3 linked regions of the Pelodiscus sinensis genome follow. The main gene of each other region encodes a partner of the protein of the gene in region 3 in a complex. Links are inferred from orthologs where the notes say so. Each region holds a gene or a part of one and is shown on either strand. Other genes may lie near its edges. The genes, in order: contactin-4, CNTN6 and PTPRG.

Region 1 (8,068 bases), about 12 Mb from region 3:
CTACTAGCTGTAACTTGTCTCATAGCACAAGGTTTGGAGGCACTAAATGGTTGCACATAACTCCAGCAGTAAAGAATTTCATATCTCAATAGCACATGACTGGAGTTGTCATGCAAGTTCATGATTAAGGCACTCAAGTGTTATTTTACTGCTCAATTTCCCTACGCCATGGCAAAGCTCCCTGGACTTCCTCTTGTTAAGGAAAAAGCAATTTAACTTCCATTCATGATCCAAGAAAAGCTTAAGCTTCAGGAAAATGAAAGCAGCTACAATGGAGCCCTTAAATTAAACTGTAAGAGAGATTTCCAAATTCTTCAGTTCTAGTCATCAGAGTTCCTCTGAATACATTCAAAACAAAGAGCTCTTCAAGAAATCTGGGCATTTTAGGTATGATTTCACTTAAGCATGATCTTCAAACAACCTATGGTGTAAATGGGCACCATTTTCAAACATGCACATTTTTTGAGCACATGTACAACTATTTATAAATGTCATACATTTAGAGCTTCACCCCTACTCTCCCTCCCTCAACAGTTCACTGACACAAAGCCTGTTGAAGTTAATCAAAGTCTTTTTCCATTGACTTCAGTGGTGTTTGGATCATGACTTTAATTTGTCTTTGGTGTGCACACAGAAGCTATGAAGATAAATACACTGTAGTGTATTCTGCACTGGAAGCCATTGCCTAAAAGAATCAGGAGTTTGGGGAAAATTAGCAGCATACATTCCTCTAAAGGAGGAAGTAGGGAACCTAATAGAACTAGGAGGGGGGAGTAATCTTTGAAAAATAAGAAGTTATAACAGCAGATGAAGGAGTGGGGGGACTTTAAGAGATTATTGAGAAGTCATTTATGCAGGATCAGTAACTGGCAAATGCAATTTAATAACACAAAAACTTTGATGAGCCTAGACAGAGAAGACAAAGTTTCCTGCAGAGAAAAACAGCAAACGCACCAGGAATTTTTTCTCCCCTGCATTCTCCCACCACCAATCTAGCACCTGATTTTGCATATTAGTTTTGAGTTCTACACAGAGAAAGAGATGCTAGGAAGAATTACTGATAACTAGAGACATGAGTGGGTTATTTCAGGTGGAAAACTACCCTTGTTAAACATGCTCTGATCTTATGCCCCATGGCATTCCCAGCAGTTGAAACAGTTATTTTTAAAAAATAACTATTTAATAATGGATTTCCAAAATAGCAGGACTGTTTTAATAGGAAGCCTGCATCAACTTCTACTGCATGCAACTCCGGTGACTTATCTGTTAGCATATAAAAATCATGAACCATAGATTTTTAAAATGAGGGCAGATACAAAAGATGAAAGAGGGGAAAATAATCGTACATGCATACATGTGGCTGGCATCTCTTTAATATTTTACCTTCATTCATCTGCTAAGGGGCGGAAAAAAACAAATACATGGCCACAGACAAAAGCCTCCTTTTATCTCCTCCTGCAGAAATCTGCTTCCATTTATTCCAAAAGGTGACCTAACATTAGTATGTAAGATCCAAACTAATTCCACTTGTTATGCAAGCAACATCGTGTAATTTGTAGGTTAGGGAGCAAGGCACGCTTCTCGGGGATAAATAAAACAACATGCTGCATTATGTTACTCCTCACACGGAGAGCTAACATCAGCCCTCGGAAAGGAAGAGCTGCCAAACCCCCTAAGCATCAAGAAACACTCGTTTGCAACACGCGAAAGTTCTGCATAGGTTTGTACTAGGTAGCGACACGGCAAGCCCCTCCACCCCCCGGCACACACGCTCGGCTTGGTCCTTTCCTCGCCGAGCTGCACTCAGCATCTCCAGCATCTCCCAAGGACACTGGCTTGATCGATCTCTGTCAGGCGTGTCGGTCGGGGCTTGCGAAGCACAGGAGAGCCATCCCCTTGCACCAGGCTCCTCTCCTAGGCGCCTGGGCTTCGCCATGCTGCAGGGATCTCGCGCCCCTTGGTTCTTTGGCTCCAAGGGGGCAGCCGCGACCAGCGCTCCCCCAGGTTGAAGTTCGCAGGAGGAGCGAACGCGGTTCCCTTCGGGGCTGAATCACACGAACGGCTCCGTCGCCGCGACCCACTGCCGAGCGCCTGGCGGGGAGGCACGATGCGGCGCGGAAGCCAGCCCGCCCGGGTGCCGCTGGCTGGGCTCGGTGGCCAAGGGGCTGCCCAGATAGCCGCTGTCTAGCAAAGCGGAGCGGGAAATCGGGAGTTCTCCGGGTGAGCCCTCCGTGTGGAACGGAGCAGTCTGGCTGGGGCGGTGGGAATCAGCCGGGAAGGGAGGGGAGCCGATGCCCTGGGTCTCTTTCCCAAGCCCCTTTGCCACCACGCAACTTCAGCCCCTGGAGTTCTGCTGCCTCCCCAGTGCTCGCTGCCGGGGTCCCGCAGGATCCAGCACTGGCCGATCCCCTCTCTGCGCGTCGCCCCCCCCCCGTAACAAACCTGCTCCTTGGCAAAGTCTCCGAATCGCCGGACCCTCCGCCAGCGCAGGGACCGCCCGGGGAGCGGCTGCTGCGGGCGCTGCTACGCCCGGTGCACTGGGGCCCTTTGCACAAGGGCGAGTCCTGGCCCCGGCGGTGGCGGGCTGGGGGCGGGGGCAGGGCTGTCCGACAACAAACAAACTTAGTTCCTCGCTTGCAGCCGGAGCGGGCTGGGGCAGCAGGGGCCAAGCCGGCAGCTCCCCCCCCCCCCCGGCAGGTCTGGTCCATCTGACCCCCCCCCCCCCCCCCACTACTTCTCCCCGCCTTTTCTCCGCGCCAGCAGCAGCCTGGGTGATCCGCGGCGCCCCGCTCCAGTCCCCGCCCGGGCTTACCTTCGAGCAGGCTGCGAGCTGCGGTCCGATCCCCCCGCCCCCCGGCCGGGCGATCAGCGGCGGCGGCTGCAGCGGAGACGCGGGCTCTGTGCAGCGGCGCAGCCGAGGCGTCCTTTGCCCGAGCGCTGCCTCCCCGCTCTGCCGCGCAGCCCGCAGGGCTGTTCTTACACCGAGCAGCCCTTGGCCGCGGCGTTGAACGTCAGAGATTGGGGAGCCCTGTGAGCGCCGCGCAAACCCCACCCCCCAAACCTGAGCCGGGGCCGCCCGCCCGTGGGGGAGGAGAGAACGAAAGACCAGGCGTGTGTGCCAACTACCCGCGCCTCCGGCGTGGACCCCGGTCCGCCAGCCCTGCGTGGGGAGCCCGGGACCCTGGCTGGATCCCCCTTCAGCCGGCTCTCTGCAGGGGGCAGGTTCGCGTGGCTCCCGCTGACCGTGGTTCCATTACACCCCCCTGCAGGGGTGACAGCTTTGCTGCAGGCAAGAGTCAGTCCGCTCGCCTTTGCTTTCGAGGGGGTCACCGCTCCCTGATCCTGACGGACGTGACAATAACCTCTGGAGACACCCCCTCCCAGATTCGGATCCCGTTCGGCAGTGTGCTGCCCTAAAGAGCATACAGTGTAAACGCGCAGGCAAAGCGGAGAAAGAGGACCGGAGCGAGAAAGTGGTTTAGGGTATGTTTACAGAGCAAAAAACCAAAACCAAAATAAAACCAAAAAACCCTACATCCAACTGGAGAACCTGGGTCTAGAGACTCCGGCGCACGCGAAAAATAGTCAGGTAGCGGTAGGGGCTTGGGCTGGCTTTAGAGCGCTGAAACTCATCCCTGGACAGGCTTAAGAGCCAGACCAGAGCATCCACAGAGCTCCAGTTAGCACGGCAGGGCAAGCTGGAATCTGTAGACCCAGGCTCTGAGAATGGCTTGTAGCAGGGTTTGGTTTCTCACTGTAGACATATAGTCAAAGCCACATAGTTCAGTGGCACTAGATGCATGTGCTCCTGGTCCCCAGGCTGATGCTTTATCCACTGGCCTAAGCTTAGGCTTGGAAGAGTTCGATATTCATCAGTAAATGTCAATTTCAACACTCTTTTTCTTTCTCTCCCCATTCCCTCCGTAACAAGTAAAATTTATAGATAGGCAAAGTAAGAAAAATGTTGTTTGAGAACTTATTATACTTTGCTTGGTGTATTTTGAAATGTGATGTTGCCAATTTGTGTTACAATGGTTGTAAAGCTAACTCTTGGAATCTCAACCTGACATTATAATAATGATTGCCGGGCACACACACACTCTTAATTTCCCTTAAATGTTATCTTAATACAAATTTTTAAATATGCTTAAAATACAGTTAGGCACAACTGTGAACATGTAAACAGATAAAAAAAATCTTTTCAAATATTTAAAAATGAACTTAGATATTATCATTGGATTTAAAAAAAAATCAAATTCTTCTAAGTCTATGTTTCCACCCTATTAAAAAAAACCCTCCAAAACCTTCTCTATTTACTTTAACTCAGAGAAGATGTACCTTGAAAATCCTTAAAGTTTACCCAAAGGAAATGCCCAACAGCCATCTATTTAGTGAAAGGAGGTAGAGCAGGGGTAAGGAATCTTTTTTGGGTCAGGGTTCACTGAAAAACTAGTTTCAGGTCACCCACAAGTAAGAGTTTGTGTGCTCCAGCCCCACAGTGGAGTGGCAGGGGATCCCTGATCCTTGGGGACTAGATCCTGGCAAGCCAGGGTCTGCATCCAGCCCCCAGGCCTGAGCTTTTCCATCCCTGGGGTAGAGGATGAGGCCAACTGCCTCTCCCTCCGGGTATGTGTACACTACCCCCCTAGTTCGAACTAGGGGGGGTAATGTAGTCATACGGAGTTGCAAATGAAGCCTGGGATTTGAATTTCCCGGGCTTCATTTGCATAAAGCCGGCTGGCGCCATTTTTAAATTCCGGCTAGGTCGGACCCCGTGCCGCGTGGCTACACGCGGCACGGACTAGCTAGTTCGGATTAGGCTTCCTAATCCGAACTATCTGTACACCTTGTTCCACGAGGTGTACAGCTAGTTTGGATTAGGAAGCCTAATCCGAACTAGCTAGTCCGTGCCGCGTGTAGCCGCGCGGCACGGGGTCCGACCTAGCTGACATTTAAAAATGGCGCCGGCCGGTTTTATGCCAATGAAGCCCGGGAAATTTAAATCCCGGGCATCATTTGCAACTCTGTATGACTACATTACCCCCCCTAGTTCGAACTAGGGGGGGTAGTGTAGACATACCCTCCCTGACTTACCCTCCCTTCCCAAGACCTAATGATGGTGAGAGCATATGCAGGGAAGCAGGTCTTATGCATAGGACTGATGAGAAAACAACAATTCCATTTTGCAAACTGTTCTTTTCCTACATAGGAGCAAAAATGAGACATTTCAAAATTTTTCATGGAGAAAAAGAGAAAGCGCGAGAAAAAAAAACACCCTGAAATAGTCAATGTGATTTGGGGTACTTAGCAGGGAAGTGAGAGACTCACATTTAAGTCCCTGTTTTCATTGATTCAGAGCCCAAACTGACAAGCTCTTAATTCTTCTCTGTGTGTGTCTGTGTGAAACTGCACCCTGGACCAAAGAAGCCATCCCAGTGACATTTTCTTAGAACTAATACAGTTCAATGAAACACTTTGTTTGACATAAATGGGAGTTTTGGAAGGAAAAATGTCAAAACATTTTTCAACCCCCTTTGCCTATGAAGCCCACTTTTTGGGCTTAGTGGAAGTATAAGCAGTCACTTTTGGAGTCTAAGCAAATTTCAAGAGCTAGAAGGAATCCTCTTCACAAGGGTCCGAGGATGAAGCCCTAATAACCCTCTTACTGTTCTCCCTTCCCTCTGCTTTTTCACCTCTGAATGTTGGTGATGTCATTAGACTCTGACTTCTTAAATTACAATTGTGGACCTTTGATTTTACCTTTGGCCATTTGCTCTGCTCCCTGCCTCACATGCCTTGCCCACTTTGCTTCTCACCAGCTTTTCTTCTCCACTTTTCCATTCATCTTAAACTCCCTGGTCCTCTTCCTTTGTCCTTCCCACTCTCTTCCTCCTGTGAATTCATCCCTATTTTCCTGCCTTTTTCATCACCCTATCTGATCCCTCGTTGCATGCTTAAGAAAATCCCAAAATAAAATCAACTCAGATAAGAACCGGGCAAATTAGTCGAAACAATAGTAAAGAATAAAATTGTGAAGCATGTAGAAAAACATAATTTGTTGGACAAAAGTCAACATGGATTCTGTAAAGGGAAATCCTGTCTTACTAATGTATTAGAGTTCTTTGAAGGGGTTAACAAGCATGCGGATAAGGGGGATGCAGTAGATATAGTATACTTGGATTTTCAGAAAGCCTTTGACAAGGTCCCTCACCAAAGGCTCTTGTGTAAATTACATGGCCATGGGATAAGAGGGAAGGTCCTTTCTTGGATTGCGAACTGGTTAAAAGACAGGAAACAAAGGGTAGGAATAAATGGTAAATTTTCAGATTGGAGAGGGGTAACTAGTGGTGTACTCCAAGGGTCAGTCCTGGGACCAATCCTTTTCAACTTATTCATAAATGATCTGGAGAAAGGGGTAAGCAGTGAGGTAGTAAAGTTTGCGGATGATACCAATCTGTTTAGGATAGTCAAGACAGAAGCAGACTGTGAGGGACTCCAAGAAGATCTCACCAAACTCAGTGATGGGGCAGGAAAATGGCAAATGAAATTTAATGTGGGTAAGTGTAAAGTAATGCACATCGGGAAAAATAACCCCAACTATATGTACAGTATGATGGGGGCTAATTTGGCTACGACAAATCAGGAAAGGGATCTTGGAGTTATCGTGGACAGTTCTCTGAAAACTTCCATGCAGTGTGCAGCGGCGGTCAAAAAGGCAAATAGGTTGCTAGGAATTATTAGGAAAGGGATAGAAAATAAGACCCAGAATATCTTACTGCCCAGTATAAAACTATGGTATGCCCACATCTTGAATACTGTGTACAGTTGTGGTCTCCTCACCTCAAAAAAGATATTTTGGCCTTGGAAAGGGTTCAGAAAAGGGCAACTAAAATGATTAGGGATTTGGAGCGGGTCCCATATGAGGAGAGGTTAAAGCGACTGGGACTTTTCAGTTTAGAAAAGAGGAGACTGAGGGGGGATATGATAGAGGTCTATAAAATCATGAGTGGTGTGGAGAGGGCTGATAAAGAAAAGTTATTTATTAGTTCCCTAAATAGAAGAACTAGAGGACATCAAATGAAATTAATGGGTAGCAGGTTTAAAATGAATAAAAGAAAGTTCTTCTTCACACAGCGTGTAGTCAACCTGTGGAACTCCTTGCCAGAGGAGGCTGTGAAGGCTAGGATTATAATAGAGTTTAAAGAGAAGCTAGATAATTTCATGGAGGTTAGGTCCATAAAAGGCTATTAGCCAGGGGATAAAATGGTGTCCTTGGCCTCTGTTTTTCAGAGGCTGGAGAGAGATGGCAGGAGACAAATCGCTTGATCATTGTCTTTGGTCCACCCTCTCTGGGGCACCTGGTGCAGGCCACTGTCGGTAGACAGGATACTGGGCTAGAAGGACCTTTGGTCTGACCCAGTACGGCCGTTCTTATGTTCTTATGTTATGTTCTTATGTAAGAAGCATAGGACATATACATTTTCCATCACTGTGATTGTTCTGCAGATATAATGTATCCGTCTCTACTGCTCCAGCCCCTTTTTTTCCTATGTAGCTTTAGCTCTTTGGAGCAATAACCTCTCTCTCTTCCTATGTCAGTAGGTCACCTGATACCGTGAAGATTTCAGTCCTGATTAGAGTCTCTAGCTCTGGAGTTCTGAAATTTTTTTGCACCACAACTTCCTTCTGGGAACAAAAATTAATTACCCCAGGATGGGAGACCAAAATCTAAACCCACCTGAGTCCCCTTGGCTGAGGATCCAAAGCCAGAGGTTGAGGACTTTGGGCTTCAACCCGAGGCAGGGGGCCTGTGGCTGGGCTCTGCCACCCAGGGCCGAAGACACTGGGCTTTGGTCCCTGGGCCCAGCAGCTGTAATGCCAGGACAGGGGGTATTGCCCCCTGTGGCTGCCTGGGTAAGCAAAGAGGGGGACAGGACTTAAACCCATCAAATAGCATTCCCCAAGCAAATGCTCTATCCACTAGGCCATTCCAGCACCCTACTTTCAGGACAGCCCTTATCCTGCCTTCCTAATGCCAGAGCCTGCTCCATCCCTGGAGAACTGGTGT
Region 2 (7,548 bases), about 11 Mb from region 3:
TTTATATTTCTGTTCCTTATACTTCTGCATACTAGTACTGGAACTTGCTGGTTCATCTGATCCACAAAAATAGAATCTTGTGTTCAATATTGGTCCTACAAGTAGCTGTGCAAAGTGTGTCTCTGAGGACACAAAGCCTCAGTAAACTAACTGCTTGATCTTTAACCTCTAAAACCAAGGGATCTTATTTCTCAATGAATTAAGTTATTCTGGAAGAATGCTTCACCAGGGTAGAGTGCCAAAATTCCTGTATTAAACAGATAAAACCATTTAACACTATCCATACAGTCATAGTCCTTACTAGTTGTTGAATTGCTTTAATTGTATCTGATTGTGATGTAGCTTTTCTGGCCAACAGACAGAAGAAAAAAAATCATTTATATTTTTCCTTTAAGTTTGACTCCTGATAACATGTGGCCAGTATTTGGTACACTAATCTAGGATTGAGAGAGTCTCCTATGTAATATCCTTGCTCTCCACTGCTGAAGCATATTGAATTCTTGTTTGTCCATCTTAATATTATTTGTCTGGCAAAGACAATTTCCTCTGCGTTTCTGAGAGCTATGTTGTACTTCTGAAAGAAATCCATCTACTTTTGGCCTAGCACCATACAATAATGTTAACTCCTACTCAGTTTGGAGATATGTATCTTTGCAGTTTGCCTCAGATTTATTCTCACCTTCAAGTTCTTTGGCTAAATACAGGTTTGTGTTTCTATTCCACTACTTGGCAAAGTTTTCCTTCTCTGCATTGGTGGATGTTACTTCAAACACCAGCTCTGTATATGGAATGTATCTCTGTTAGTAATCCTAGCTAATACCATTGATCATGTGATTCATAAAATAAATGTGTAAAAACAACATTGCAACAGCAGCCTGGCAGAGAATGGTTTTCCTTTCCTTCTTTCAAGTGAAAAGAGACAGTCCTTCCTGCAGGCCACCCTTCTCTTCTATTCTACTCTTCCAAAGCTCCTTTTCATATTTTGTAGCTCCCTCCTTTTCCTACCCTTGCAATCCAGGCTGTGAAAAAAGTAATATTCCTAGAAACCTTCAGGAAATCCTGTGAATAGGGTATGAATATTTTTTTTATTTTTTTCTACAGGGTCCCTTTCAATGGATACATCTTCCTCTTGGCAGTATAGTGTGCCTATGGCTGAAGGAACTGAGGAGTTTCCTTCAATCCATGCGGAGATGGAGTCTGTAATGAATACCATAATTGGAGGTGTTTTTGGCATATAGCCTTCAGCTTCCTCCTCATAGTCTCTCTTGGTACATTCCTTTTCCTCTTTTGAGCTCATCCTCTTCCATTCATTCCCCAGTTTCCTCCCAGTAACTTACCCTGCTTCTTTCTTCACTCACAGGGTGCGTCTACACAGCACCCTAAACTTGAAATAAGATATGCAATTTGCTCTATGGAAATTGTGCGTCTTATATCAATTCTATTTTGAAATACCTTATTTTTAAATTTGGCATGTCTACATAGTGCCAAATTTTGAAATAATACACTATTTTGAGACATCCCTTAACCTTCGTGAAATGAGGGATACAGGGATGCCAAAATAGCGCACCCGTTGTTTTGAAAAATATTTTGAAATAACAGGTGGCTTGTTAAGATGTGGAGTAGCTATTTCGGGATACCTCAGTATCCTGAAATAGCTACACAGAGTAGATGTACTCACAGTTTCCACAAACAAAATTCTAATATGGCTGCTCCACTATTTCTGCCTGACAGGGATTTTGTTTGGTCACAAAGCAAATTTCACCTACTAGCTTGGAATTCATTTCCCACGAACAAAAGGTTGCTCGCAGAAATATTTGAGAAAAGCAAATATAAAGGGTCAGACTATGATGAATTAAAATTTGGTTTTCATTTGCCCCGATCTCTAGAGACCAAATCTCTTTGCTTAAGAAATTAAAAGGAAAAATTACAAAACTCAGTACAAATGATAAAACCAAATGATCAGCTTTATGAAAAGAAAGTCTGTGAACTATCTCAACTTCTGATGTCTCCTTTGTATAACCTTTGTGACATGAGATTTGCTATGAGAAATGGAACAGGATTAATAATTAATACATTTACTGATGTCTGAAATAGCGACATAAGGTTGGCTTTAGATGTATGTTTTATTAATGAGTTTTGAAAACAATTGCTTTCTCACAGTAACAGGCAGTGCAGACCTTTAGAAAGGAGAAAAAAATGAGTGCATGTAAAATGTGTGGCTTCCTTCAAGTTTCCTTTGAGGGTACCAATAAAATTCAGTTACCATTCAAAAATGTGCAGAAGAAATAATAAAAGGGTTAGCATAATAATTCAGAAACTGGTTCAAATTGACATCTGTGACTGCATCCAACCCGGCTGAAATATGATACATTTCAGCACAGCACAACAATATCCTTTTACACAGTATATAAAGAAGAAGAGAATCTTCCTGTATATCTCTTAATGTAACAAAATGTCACTGAGGTAATTACTGGTGTGACATTTATGTGACACTGCTGGGCATCATTATGCAGAAGCAACCATAAAGCCTAGTCTTCTGCATTTTTTTAGCTTTTTTTTCTTTGCACGTGTGGCTAGGTATGGAAGAAGATAACTAATGAACATCACTCAGGCCAAAAAAAAACCCCACCCTCTTAAAAATTGTAATAGCTTTATTAAACAAAAGTAATTGCATTCATCTTTCTTGACCTTTCAGTCAGCAGTGGTAATTATTGTTCTCTGAGTGCTGTAAGGAATCGGAAGTCTGTTTTAGTTGTAAATATTTATAAGAAAATAGGATTTTTTAAATCTAAAATAGAAAAGCACTGCAGAGATAAATTCACCCCTTTCATTGTAGTCATTGTGATACTTTTAATGATCAAATAAATGACATGACACATACAAAATTAGTTAGAAAGTAATGCTTTCATAACTTACATGCAAACTGAAGCTTTGCTTTCCTGCTCAGAATTGTTCCAAATGAATTTGTGGCCAAACACTGGTATGTTCCAATATCCTGTTTTGTATGTGGGTTATTGATTGCCAAGCTGCCTTCAACCAACCTGTAGTGATAACTCATGGTAAGATCAATATCTGTACCATTTTGCTTCCACCTTTGAGGGGAAAAAAATCAAATTATGCTTATAATTTACAGCATCTATTCAGATTTATCAAATAGTGTGCTGTAGCATCCCTGTAACAAAAAAAGTGTATCAATCTTAATATTATCAATATTTCTTCGGTTTAAAAATCTTTGCTGCTTGTATGTTAGTCACCAGAGTTCAACCCATATCCACAAAAGGTAATTATAACTTATTTATAAAAAATTAAATTATTCATCCAATTGGGAGTACAGATACCTTGACTGCAGATGCATTATTTTTATAATATAAATGGTACCTGAAAGTGTTTTATTGCCTTTGCAAGTGATGTCATAAATTTGCTTATAGAAATGTTTTAGAGATATAAATCAGGAAAGGATTATACTTCAAAGAGCAGAAGAAAACAGCCAGGTTTTCTATAGCATGTCTGAGATTGATAATACAATAATAAGAATGGTGCTATTTTAAAACATGAGTTGTCACTATCAGTCTGTTAAGTAGAAAGATTGAGTCTGCAACATTTCACAGCTACTTCCAAATGTCAAAATAAACATAATATTTCATTGAAAATAAATATATATACAAGCAGTCCCCGGGTTACGTACAAGATAGGGACTGTAGGTTTGTTCTTAAGTTGAATTTGTATGTAAGTCGGAACTGGTACATATTGTAGGGGAAACTCTAGCCAAACATTTCTCCAGAGCTCAGTTTTATTCTCCCACACCTCACTTCCCTCAGTCCTTTATTCTCAAGCTGAGGTGTCTGCTGAGAAAAGCCGCTCCGTGTCTCCCTGGTCTGTGGGGGGCGGGGAGGCGCTAGCTTCGTGTCTCCCTGGTCTGTTGGGGGCAAGCAGCTAGTGCGGGGTTGCCTCACCCCGTTTGTAAGTAGGGATCCGATGTAAGTCAGATCCATGTAACCCGGGGACTGCCTGTATATATATATTTAATTTTTAAAAAGGAAGTGTCTCAGGGCTTTGCCATTATTCACATTAGAATGGAATTCACATAACTCAGTTAAAGCCCCAAAAAACTAGCATTCATATGGGCGAGGCCCTTCAGTAGGTGTTGTCCAAGCAGTGGTCTTGAATAATATCTAGAGCCTTATCCTTGCACTATACATAAGGGGTTTTTTTCCACACTAGTTCCACATGATCCTTATCATTTTTCACCTAATGCATTCCCCCATTCCACTCTATCTAAACACTGCACTGACATGTAGATGTGATGTGGACCCCTCTATGACCTGCAAGGGTATGTCTAGACTACATGGCTCCATCGACGGAGCCATGTAAACTACTTTACCTGACATAGTCAATGAAGCGGGGATTTCACAAAGCATAAGGGAGCGATTGATATAGGCTTCCCTTGTCTACCGATCTGCGTTTAGACTGCCGCTCTGTGCCGTATCAGCTGATTGTCGGCACAGAGCGGTGGCCATTCTTATTTTAATGAAGTAGGGATTATTTAAATCCACGCTTCATTGACTGTGTCGGGTAAACGAGTTTACATGGCTCCGTCGATGGAGCCATGTAGTCTAGACATACCCCAAAATATATAGAAATCTTGTGCATGGCTTAAGTGGCATGGATGCCTTCTGTAAGTTCTCTGCACCATGGGAATTTTGTTTAATTATCCATAGACTAACAGAGCAAAATATAGAGTACTAATTAGTTTCAGCAATAAGTGATGATAGTTTAGCTGAACTAGATACTATAGTCTAAAACTTGAAAGAGACTTTTGTACCTTCACCAATATCTTCTAAACTAAAACTGTTTCCCACAAATGTAAACACTGGTAGCTGATCTTCAGCCGTCATAAACTGGCATAGCTTCATTAAAATCAATAGGGCTATACATCTGAGGAACTGTCCCTGATATATATTGCAAAAAAATGTATATGAGCCAACCGCTGAGAGGAGTTTCTCCAAGAATTTGATTGTGCGGATTATTTGTGAGTAGGAGAAACTGCTTCAAAGAATCGTGTGAAATGTCATTGCACGCTCTAAGGAAAATCTTGACAAATATATACAGAGAAAGACAAGAAACATGACCTTGGAGAGGGATATATGCTTTTAAAGATGAGAAGTGATTGATCAAATATCAAATCAATTGAATTTTTGTGAACAAATTCTAGAAGCTTTAAATAATTTAGCTGGATCCTCCATATCTCTGACTTCTGTTTTATGAATGCTTTAGCATTAAGAAGTCTAGTGGCAACTGCAGAACAGCAATAGTTTGCTTGCCTCTAGTTACTGCTAATTTTGATCCCTGGATTCCTTTATCTTTTACATTTTTATCAGGACAAGCAGAGCTGTAGGCAATGGCCATCCATCAGCCTTCTATAAGAAGCAGTTCTCTATATCACAGTCAGTAGTTCTCCATATTTCATAATTTGTGTACTGTACATGCTCTCTGGACCTTGGTTCTCCTTTTAGTTTTCTAGCATAGGAAATAGTGGTATTTAGTTTGCCAGCTCTCTTTAATTTGAGAATCAATCACTGAAATAACTGCTGTCATCATTACATGGCTCCCAATTAAGCTCCATAATTGTTTTTCAACACAAATGCAAAGTTGTTGGCTTAGTTGCAGCAAATGAATTTTTCACACTATCCCCATAATCATTCTAATCACCATGGTACAATGATTATTAAACTGTGCATATAGATCAGGGGTTCAGCTCCTGGTGTGGGCTTTTTTCCTAATTAATATGTTTAAATCAATGAAGGAACAGAATTAATGAATCCATGTGATTGCCAGACAAGTGTTTAATCATAGCATGTGTGCCCTAGTGTATTTATCTGATATTAACTAATCCATGAAGGATTATTTCAAATCATTTTTAATATCTTTATATTAATCCCAGCTGATCTAATAGTTTTATGAACCTTTTTTGAATTCAATAATTTAAAATGTATATTTATCATTGCATGTCAAAAATACATCACTGACTGCTAATTTATCTTCAGAATAGAACCAAAAATATGCAAGTCACTGAGCTTAGTTTAAATATTTGCCTAGAGAGGAAATGTTCTCAAATAAGACTGATGAAAAAAAGACCTCTAGTGAAATAAATACTATACGGCTGTGTCTACACTGGGCCATTTATTCCAGAAAAGCAGCCACTTTTCCGGAATAACTTGCCAGCTGTCTACACTGGCTGCTTGCTTTTCTGGAAAAGCAATGACGATCTACTGTAAAATTGTCAGTGTTTTTCCGGAAAAACTATGCTGCTCCCGTTCGGGCAAAAGTCCTTTTCCGGAAAAACTGTTCTGGAAAAGGGCCAGTGTAGACAGCACAGTAGTCTTTTCCACAAAAAATCCCCGATCGAGAAAATGACAATCGGGGCTTTTTTCTGGAAAAGCGCGTCTACATTGGCCACGGACGCTTTTCCGGAAAAAGTGCTTTTCTGGAAAAGCATCCTGCCAAAGTAGACACGCTTTTTCCGGAAATACTTATAACGGAAAACTGTTCCGTTATAAGCATTTCCGGAAAAGGGTGCCAGTGTAGACGTAGCCCATGTGTTTTATAGATTCATAGAGTTTAAGGCTAGACAGGAAAAATAGGATCAACTATTCTGATTAGGAATGTTAAAACAGTTAACTGATTAAATGATAGCGCTTAACGGTTGCCCATTTTTACTTAGGTTCTGCCACCAAGACCTGTCGATGGGGGAGTGACAAAGAGTGCAAATGTCCCAGGGCCTGGTGATTCCAGAGGGTCTGCGGTTCCTGGCTGCTGTCACCATTACTGCCACAATGGAGGCACCCTGAGCCCTCTAAATTGCTGCTGGAACACCACACAGCATGCTCCAGGCAACTCTGGGAGGGAGGAGGTGGTATGGACAGTACTGAGGGCTGGCTGACCCAATCCCGTCCCTTTCCATCTGAAGCCCTTCCCCTTCTGGGAGCTTGGAGCCAGACTTTCCCCCACCTTTCACAGGGACCTGGCAAGACTGTCAGCCCCCATGCTGGCATCTAGCTCATCAACCAGGAAGCCTACTATTAAGTCTCAGTATGCTTTCCAGTTAATTTGTTAACATTCCTAATTCTGATCTCTTACATAACATGAAGAATAGACCAAATCCTCCATCAGGCCCAAAACATCTGGTTGAACTGGAACATATCTTTTTTAAAAGACCTGTAGTGATCATTGGGGCCTAGTGCAGCGACCCCAGCTATGATCCTAAATGCAAGGAAGTGAATAAAACAGTTGATAAAATAGCACAATAATCTGTAACAATAAATATTTATCAGGAAAGGGACACGGATTATTAGGCCAAATGCAAAAGGCCTACAGATATAATTCAAGATTTTGTAAAGATCATGCCCTGTTAAACAACAGAAATGTGGGACTGAAAATCGGTGGACCAAAACTGGTGTGTTAGAAATTAGGACTAACTGATGGACAAAATAATGAAAGGATAGGCTCCATTTCTACCCACCTCTGCCCTTTGGGAATTTTAAAAATGAT
Region 3 (7,827 bases):
TTTCTTTCAATGAGGCCTAACATGGTAGCAGCATCTGAGAATTACATCCACAAAAGCCAAGTAGCTTGCTTTCCAAGAAAAGCCTCCGTGATGAACAGCATCTGTAAATATTATATAGCTATTTCACAGATATGTATGTTGTTAAGTCATTTAGCTACACATGGTACATGAACACGGGCATGCAATGGAGCATATATCCACATCAACCTATAATGAAAATATGATCTAGCTTGAACTCCATTGATATAAAATTACTCTTACAATATTGTCATATTAAACCTACATCAGAGCTTGTTTTCCTGAATTGTTCTTAGAACCTGCTTTCTAGATGTAATTACTGCATATTATACATCAGACTCAGAAAGAAAGGCCTCTCAGAGCTGAAATAGAGAAGAAATCAATACAAGAAAGATAAATGTTTTTCCTCAAGAGCTGCAAAATTTCAAATAGATGGAGGTTTTAACTCTCACTCTGGCTTATTTTATTTTTGCTTGAAGTCATTTTATTATCTGATAAGTTACTGAAGTGATTGGAATATACAGTCCAGTTGCCCTGTATGTATTTAAAATGAGAACTGAAAGTTACTAGAAAGCTTCCAGAAAACTCTGAATGTATCCTGTAAGTTGCCTACAATACAAGTTACATCAGAAGGTTTGTGTTACAGCTTTCCATGAAGACATAGGCTGACTTTAAAAAAAACTAATAAAAATTAACAGAAAAAGCATGCAGCTAGAGCCTGCAAGACATGAAAATTGGCTCTTTCTGCAATAAGCTACTGAAGTAGGTTTTTAAAATATAGCTCCAGACTTTTGAAAGTCAGTGAAGTCCAAACCACTACTATTTAAATAAAACAAACCACATCTGGCTGAAAATACTGTAGCTACGCAAGTCATAATATTTGAAGCAAAAGAAGTTTAAAAAAAAAAAAAGATAGCCGTGTGCATGTGATAGCACTTCGTGCAGAATCCATTTCCTTGTTTCCAGCTACTTCCCCACAATAAAGATTGTCCTAAGACAGGAATGGGGAAAACTGGAAACCCCTTAGATATTTCTAGAGCAACGTGCAGGAAGAAATACAGCTACAGCTGACATTCTCAGGGTGCTCTAAGAAACCGGCTTCACATAGGTGCAGTTAGCAACGCCCCTTTAAAACCTCAAGGGGCACAGATATATTGTGGCAGGAGTGGGTGTTGTAACCCTTGGCCAGAGAAACTGGGCAGCCTGAGACCTTGCTCTCAGCTGCCTCTGGGCACCCTGAGTGGCTGCTGCAAGCCAGCAGATGCGCAGGCCAGTGGCCGTTGCCACACCCACTCCAGACAGAGCCACGCTCCGGAGAAGTTCCCAGGAGTGACACGTCCATTCCGGAGCGTGCGCGGGGGGCTCTGTGGGGAGGCGCGGGACGCAGCCCGGCTCAGCTGCGCCTCTGGGGGCAGAGCCGCGCCACTGCAGCTTTGAAAATGGCAAAGCAGCCTCCTGCAAAGGCTCCCTGACATTTTAACTTTCCTTAGCTCTGGGCTCCATTCACACGCGCCCGGCTCCGTTCGCCACGCGCCTCGGCAGCAGCGGGGGGCTTTTGCCTGGGACCCCAGCGAGCCTGGCAGCTGTTCAGGCAACATCTGGGTGGGGGGATCCCAGCCCCATGGGGGGGCAGCCCCGCGCCCCTGAAGGCTGTAGCCCGACTCCCTCCCCGCCGGGGGAAGTTTCCGCATCGGGCTCCGCTCTCGCCCCCTCCTCTGCCCGGCTCGGAACAGAGCAGCCGCCCGGCTCTGCCCGCACCTCGCCCCGCCGGAGCCCGGGCAGGCTCCGACCTTTGTCCCGCCGGCCCCAGACCGCATCCCCGGCCGCCACCAAGGTCAAGGGGACGGCGGCGGAGCGCAGCCGAGCGGCGCAGGTGGGAGGCCCCGGGAGCGGCGGGGCACCCCTGAGGCTGGGGGCGCGGGGCAGCAGGGAGCCTCCCCGGGGCGCCCCGGCAGGGCCCGCTGGAGCCAAGGGCGCCCCGCGCTCCCCCGCTGCTGCAGCGGGCTGGGCGGACTCACGCCCCGGGCTGCCCGGCTCGGCTCCGCGCTCCGCCGGGGCAGCACTGCGCCAAGCCGAGCGCGCCGGAGGGAGGCACCGGGCGCCCCGGGGTAGGCGCCGGGGAGTGCGCGGTGGGGCGGGCGAAGCCCAGCAGGGGAGGCGGCCGGGGGCAGGGGAGGCGGCCCCCATCACACACACGGGGGGGGGGGCAGGTTCCCGCAGCCGGTCCCGCTCCCCGCGCGGGGGGGGGGGGGGAGTTGGGCTAAGTGCGGGGGGGGGAACCAGCCCCAGCCGCCTCGCCAGACAAAGCCCGGGCAGGGCGCAGACCGGCCCCCAAACACCCCCCCCCCAGAGTGGGGCTCGCCCGCCCGGGGCTCGCGTGAGCTGCCCCCCACCAACCCCCCCGGGCGCGGGCAGGCCGGCGCGGCGCGGCTCACCGGGGAAGCACACCACGTAGTGGAGCACGGCGCTGGCGAGTTGCAAGCCCACGATCCACCCGCACGGTCGCAGTAGCCTCCGCATGTCCAAAGGCGCGCATCGAAAGGGGCGCGGGGCGGGAACTTGTTGACAATCCAAGTTGCGCCCCGCGGGGCGCGGACACCCCGGGGCCCCCGCCGCCGCCCTGGCGGGGGGATGCAGCCGGCGCAGGGGGTCCCGCAAGCGCCAGGCCGGGAGCCGCGGAGCTGGGGGGCGGGGGAAGGGGGCTCCGGGCAGCCCGCTCACAACTTCAGTCCCCGGCGAGCGGCGGGAGGAGAAGCGCCTCGGCGGGGCTGGGGCTCCTCATGCAGGCAGCGCCTGGCCGGGCCACGCCATGGCTGCAGCGGAGCGCGGGGGCTGGCGGCGGGCGGGCGCTCAGTCCATGCCCCGGGAAGTTGGGGCTCCGCGGCGGGCTGGGCGGCGGCGGGCGGGCGGCAGCGGGGCGCGCTCCATTCTGCCCTGCACAGGAAGTGCCATGTGAGCCCGGCGCCTGGCTCACACTTTAAAGCGGAGAGAGGCAGAGAGGAGGCGGGGGCGCGCGGGGAGAAGGGGAGTCGGGTGGTTGTGCGCGCCCCCGGGGCTCTTAAAGGGGCCGTGCTCACATTTTTTTCTCCTTCCCCCCCCCCCCTTTTTTTTTTATTTCCTCTTCCCCCCTCCCTTTGCCGCTCCCGCTGATGGGAACCCTGGAGGAGTTGGCCGGGGAAACTAAGGGGTTAGTGAGCGGGCCGTGTGTGTGTGTGTGTGTGTGTGTGTGTGTGTGTACTCACACCTAAGCACCTCTGGGGGGGTGCACACACGTGTGTCTCCCTGCACACACGCTCTTGCGCACTGTGCAGCTTGTGTCTCACGCCGCGCACACTCGCCTGCAAACCCCTTTCGATACACACACACACACACACACACACACACACACACTCTTTTCCCTCCGAAGGGGGCGAAAACCGGCGCGGTCCTTCCAGTCCCTTTGCAAATCAGACCTGCTGCTGCATATTTTTTCAATTTCCTGACAGCAGGGGGGGTTTAAAGCAATATCGATCTATTTGGCAGGAGCCGGGCTAACTAGCGAGCCACCACAGCAGACAGCAGGACGGATGGGCTGCCGTGTTAATCGGATCCAGAACAATCCTGCGACGAAGGGCTGGCGGCGGGCGGTGCATGTGTTAAGGATCCCCGGTCCCTGCTGCCCGGAGCAGCGTGGGGTTAAAAGGAGCCGCGGGGAGGATCAACGCCCGGAGGCCGGGCAGATACTTGGGAGCGATTTCCTTTTTAGCCCTTTCCTTTAAATAACAAAACAATCCGAGGGAAATGGGAGCGCGGCTTATCTGTAATGAGTTCGGTCCCTTCCTTTCCGCTGCGAGATGGTATCACGTTGGAGCGAGCAGCTCAGTATTTTGCCTTTCTACTGCTTCTAACTAGGGCCGGCTTGGTTTTGATTAAATGTGTAATTGAGTCCAGATCATTTGCCATTTGCAATTTAAAATTCTTCACTCTTATCTAAATTGTATCTGTTTGAAGTTATTTATGTTATGACGCCGCCCTCTGTATACACTGAGCGTCCTGCTAGCTCCGGGAGGGAGTCTTCTATCATTCCTTTGGGGATGGCCAGAGACCTCACACCAAATAAAAGAAGCACAGAAGAGACCCCAAAGGTCCATCTAGCCCAGTGTCCTGTCTTCCCACAGTGGCCAGTGCCAGGTGCCCCAGGGGGAGGGAACAGAACCGGGAATCATCAAGTGACCCATCTCCTGTCACCTATTCCCAGCCTCTGACAAACGGAGACTAGGGACAGCTTTCCTAAGCACCCTGGTTAATAAGCATCAATGGACCTAACCTCCATAAATGGAGCTAGGTCTTTTTTTGACTGTCCTAGCATAGGCTTTTTAACCAAGACAAATATTTCTTTAAATGCTACTTTCAAAATAGACTTGACACCTACTCCAGCAATAGACAGGGAAGGAACTTTACAGGCATGGGAAACACACACTGCGGAAGTGTTAGAAGAATGTTTAAGTGGGGGGGATGTTGTAGGTGGTTCTGGGGTTCCTAATACGACTTCAAGCCAGGGGGTGCGGCAGTCCCCCCAGCACTTCTAGCTCCAGCCCTGCTGAGTCAGTGGGCTGAACCGAGAAGGAATTATCTTGAGTATTAACTTGAGCTCGGCTGGCTTTGGTACCTTCTGTCGGCACTTGAATGTCATTCCGATACAGTTTTTGTCTGATATTCAAAAAATACCTTATTACAGGATTTGTTTTTCTCCAGTCAAAGAAGAGCTACAAATCACATGACGTACTGGGACTGGAATGGGGCACTGCTGCTTTTGTTATTTGCTGGCATTGGCTTACCCCTATGGACGTGCAGTGCCTTTCACCTAGGAGTCCTTTTCAAACCCTAGTTTTATATGGGGGAGGGCGGATGAAAGGGAAGAAGGAACAAAGCAAAGGAGGATGTTACTTACCCAAGCAGTTAATGAAGCTGAAGTTGTGTATTTTAATTTGACTTTGTCCTGTAGTGTAGCCGTACCCTAGGGGCCTGGAATGCAGCAAACCCCTCTTCCAATCCTCCCCGCTGCACACCCGGAAACAGCCCTGCACTGCCATGGGAAGGAGACTGAGCCCCGAGCCATCAGGCTCACGTGCAGCAGGTCGGATGCAGAACAGGGTGGCTATAACAAGGTTCAAAAAAGAGCCAAAGTGGGCAGGGATGGTGTCCCTAGCCTCTGTGTGGCAGAAGCTGGGAATGGGTGACAGGGAAGGGATCACTGGATGATTCCCTGTTCTGTTCACTCCCTCTGGAGCACCTGGTACTGGCTACTGTGGGAAGAGAGGACACTGAGCTGGATGGATCTTTGGTCTGACCCAGTCTGGCCGTTCTGACGTTCTTATGTAGTATAGCCTGGAAGGCCCCAAATTCAGGAGACACAAAGATACCTTAAGTCTGCCTTTGCCCTCTCTCCCTTTCCTCACTCTAGGTTGTGCCTGCCATGTAGTACAGCTCAGAATTAGGGGCTGATCCTGCATTCCTTGCACGCTCAAAACAGCCATTGAGGTCATGAACATTTTGGGTACACAAGGAATCTCAATTCAAGGCCCTTGCAGAGTGACTAACCCACAACCAAAACAAAAGACCCAAAGGCCTGAAGAAATGGACAAACACCGTAGGCACTTGAACAATTCTCAAAGTACATCATTTTTGTCTGCATGATATTACTTTCTTTCGGGTAGCTTGAAAATAAGGAAGGTAAAACTATGAAAACTGTATCCATTTTCTCTTCCTGTGCAAATGAGGATGTGGGGGAGGAGGAGGGGACTCACACCTGTTTTGACCTTAGGGATTATGAACAGATATTCAACTAGTCTGCTCCTATTGGTTTGCTCCAGAAAACCTGAGCAACATTCTCACTTCGAGCCTCATATCCCTGACCTAGCCAGAGTGATAGGCAAAACAGGTGCTCTTACTTTAACAAGGGCTAACTCTGTAAAATTACAGCAGACTGGTGTGCAAAACCAGGCCTGTAAGTGGAAGTTCAACAGGTGACGCTATTTGAGAAAAGCAATTAAAAAGCAATTGCATTCTCATAAGGGCAGAACAAAGTAACTGTGGGGTTTTTTTAATGCAATTTGCATTAATTATTCTCACTGATGCAAAATCATTAATGAACGTTACTGGGACCACAGTGTTTTATTTTAAAATATTGATCATTTTACATTAGCCTATGTCTGTCTAGACTTGTAAGTTAAAATCCTGAAACTAACTCCACATCTTGAACTTGGAGTTTTGATTTATACGTTCCCATCCTTAGAACAAACACACACAACTGAGATACAAGTAGGTAAGCGTTCGGCATTGGCGCCGGCATTCAGACAGCAAATTATCCCATATATCTTCGTAAGGCATATTTTGTAAACAGCTGTGCCCCATTAAAAGAAATGGAGGAGGTCAGACTAGAAGATCCGAATGCTTCCTTCAGGGTCTTAACATCTATGAAAGATTTAGAAAACGAGAGAAAAGTAAAGGAGCTGAACTCTTGGTTCCACGTGCCAAAGGTACAGTGTACATAACAGTTTTCCTACAGCTGCCGATCAATCATTACATCATCATCTATCAAATAAAGACCTGTAGTGAGGGAAGCAACTTTCTTTTTCCATTAGCATTTGAGATGGGTAGGAGAATGGTACAGATGTATGACAGAGGCCCGGAGAATGGTATGCATCATTGTTAAACGTGCATCCATTTCCTGCAGCGTCTTTTTGCCGATGGCACATTGTCAAACAACAATAGCTAGGTAGGAATCTTTCCCTTGATAGTCCAAATAGAGAAAACTGCCGCGACAGCACGAAATGCTGGATTTAAACTGATGCCACGTTGCTGGGAGAAGTGTGCATTTAGGACAGTCGATTCGTTCCCATTGTTTAAAGTGACTACTGCCATTGGGTGTGATCACAGTAACTGCCACTGTGAGAAAAGAGGAGAGCGGACTTTAAGGGGAAATGATGCATGGAGGACTGGACTGATGTAGATTCTGCAAATCTTGCACTATTTACCATTAAATATAGTGGGCACTGGTCAAGGTGAAAGGAATAGGATCAGCATCTCTGTCTGGTTTGCATGGACGAGTGAATAATGTATGAAAACTTTTATCATCTTGTTTGAACAGGTAATATTTTCACCCTGCCTTCCTTGACATATGGGCATCACTCCTGGGAAAGGAATGACAGTCTGTTAATTTATTTGATCAGACAAGGGAAATAATAGAAAACTGAAACCAAGACTCACATTTGTCATATATTTGAATTAGCGAAAAGCTGAAGAAAGCAGAAAAATATTGCACGCCGTTCAAATACGAGAAGGATTATTGAATTGGAAGAATATTAATAACATTCATCATTTCCAAACCAGGCTTGTTAATCTGTATAATGACTGTACAAAGAACTGAGGGAGGGAGGGAGAATAAAAACGGGGCTGGCAGGGAATTAAATCTGCATGTAGCCACTTCCATTTTGGAACATTTGAAAACAAAAGGCGACTTCTTTCGCTGGTGCAAAGCAGGATAGCACCGATGGATTTCCACTCACTGATGTGGCTCAGATAGAGAGAGCAAGAGCCCGTCACCATGATGTACCTTAGAGGCTACAATTCAGATTACAAGGAGTCATGTGTGTTATAAGATTGCAGATGAATTCAGCAGCCTTTATTTCTGACCGGTATTGCAAAGGAAGGAACGGAGAAGTGCTGAAGTTGGAGTTTCATGGATTATTTTATCAGAACAGCTACTTTCCCATAGCCTCAGGACAGATTCATTCCTCTTTAAGTGTGTTGTGAGGCATTAAAAGTCTT

What was found.
Region 1: the proteins of PTPRG (region 3) and contactin-4 are in contact, whole or in part, in a crystal structure (PDB 3KLD), measured with the Mus musculus proteins. The link is inferred for Pelodiscus sinensis from reciprocal best matches to the Homo sapiens genes PTPRG and CNTN4. Residues at the interface, in NP_033007.2 of Mus musculus: Lys222, Val225, His226, His227, Lys229, Phe288, Thr290, Gln293, Asp294, His295, Val296, Lys297, Ser298, Val299, Glu300, Tyr301; in NP_001103219.1 of Mus musculus: Thr128, Arg129, Ser130, Val132, Ser133, Arg135, Gln138, Gly139, Met140, Val141, Leu142, Leu143, Cys144, Gly145, Val219, Met220, Gly221, Glu222, Tyr223, Glu224, Pro225, Lys226, Glu228, Leu250, Asn304.
Region 2: the proteins of PTPRG (region 3) and CNTN6 are in contact, whole or in part, in a crystal structure (PDB 5E5U), measured with the Mus musculus proteins. The link is inferred for Pelodiscus sinensis from reciprocal best matches to the Homo sapiens genes PTPRG and CNTN6. Residues at the interface, in NP_033007.2 of Mus musculus: Val225, His226, His227, Lys229, Phe288, Thr290, Gln292, Gln293, Asp294, His295, Val296, Lys297, Ser298, Val299, Glu300, Tyr301; in NP_059079.2 of Mus musculus: Arg129, Val132, Arg135, Gln138, Gly139, Val140, Val141, Leu142, Leu143, Cys144, Gly145, Met222, Gly223, Tyr225, Glu226, Pro227, Lys228, Glu230, Leu252, Asn306.

What each region holds. Positions count from the first base shown.
Region 1 is NC_134721.1:14,214,423-14,222,490, reverse strand, and holds the start of contactin-4, read right to left. Parts: upstream 3,012-8,068; 5' UTR 2,813-3,011; intron 1-2,812. UniProt on the Homo sapiens protein: Contactins mediate cell surface interactions during nervous system development. Has some neurite outgrowth-promoting activity. May be involved in synaptogenesis.
Region 2 is NC_134721.1:13,577,298-13,584,845, reverse strand, and holds the start of CNTN6 (contactin-6), read right to left. Parts: upstream 3,093-7,548; 5' UTR 3,059-3,092; coding exon 2,917-3,058; intron 1-2,916. UniProt on the Homo sapiens protein: Contactins mediate cell surface interactions during nervous system development. Participates in oligodendrocytes generation by acting as a ligand of NOTCH1.
Region 3 is NC_134721.1:2,585,038-2,592,864, reverse strand, and holds the start of PTPRG (receptor-type tyrosine-protein phosphatase gamma), read right to left. Parts: upstream 3,025-7,827; 5' UTR 2,539-3,024; coding exon 2,454-2,538; intron 2,127-2,453; exon of another isoform or gene 1,988-2,126; intron 1-1,987.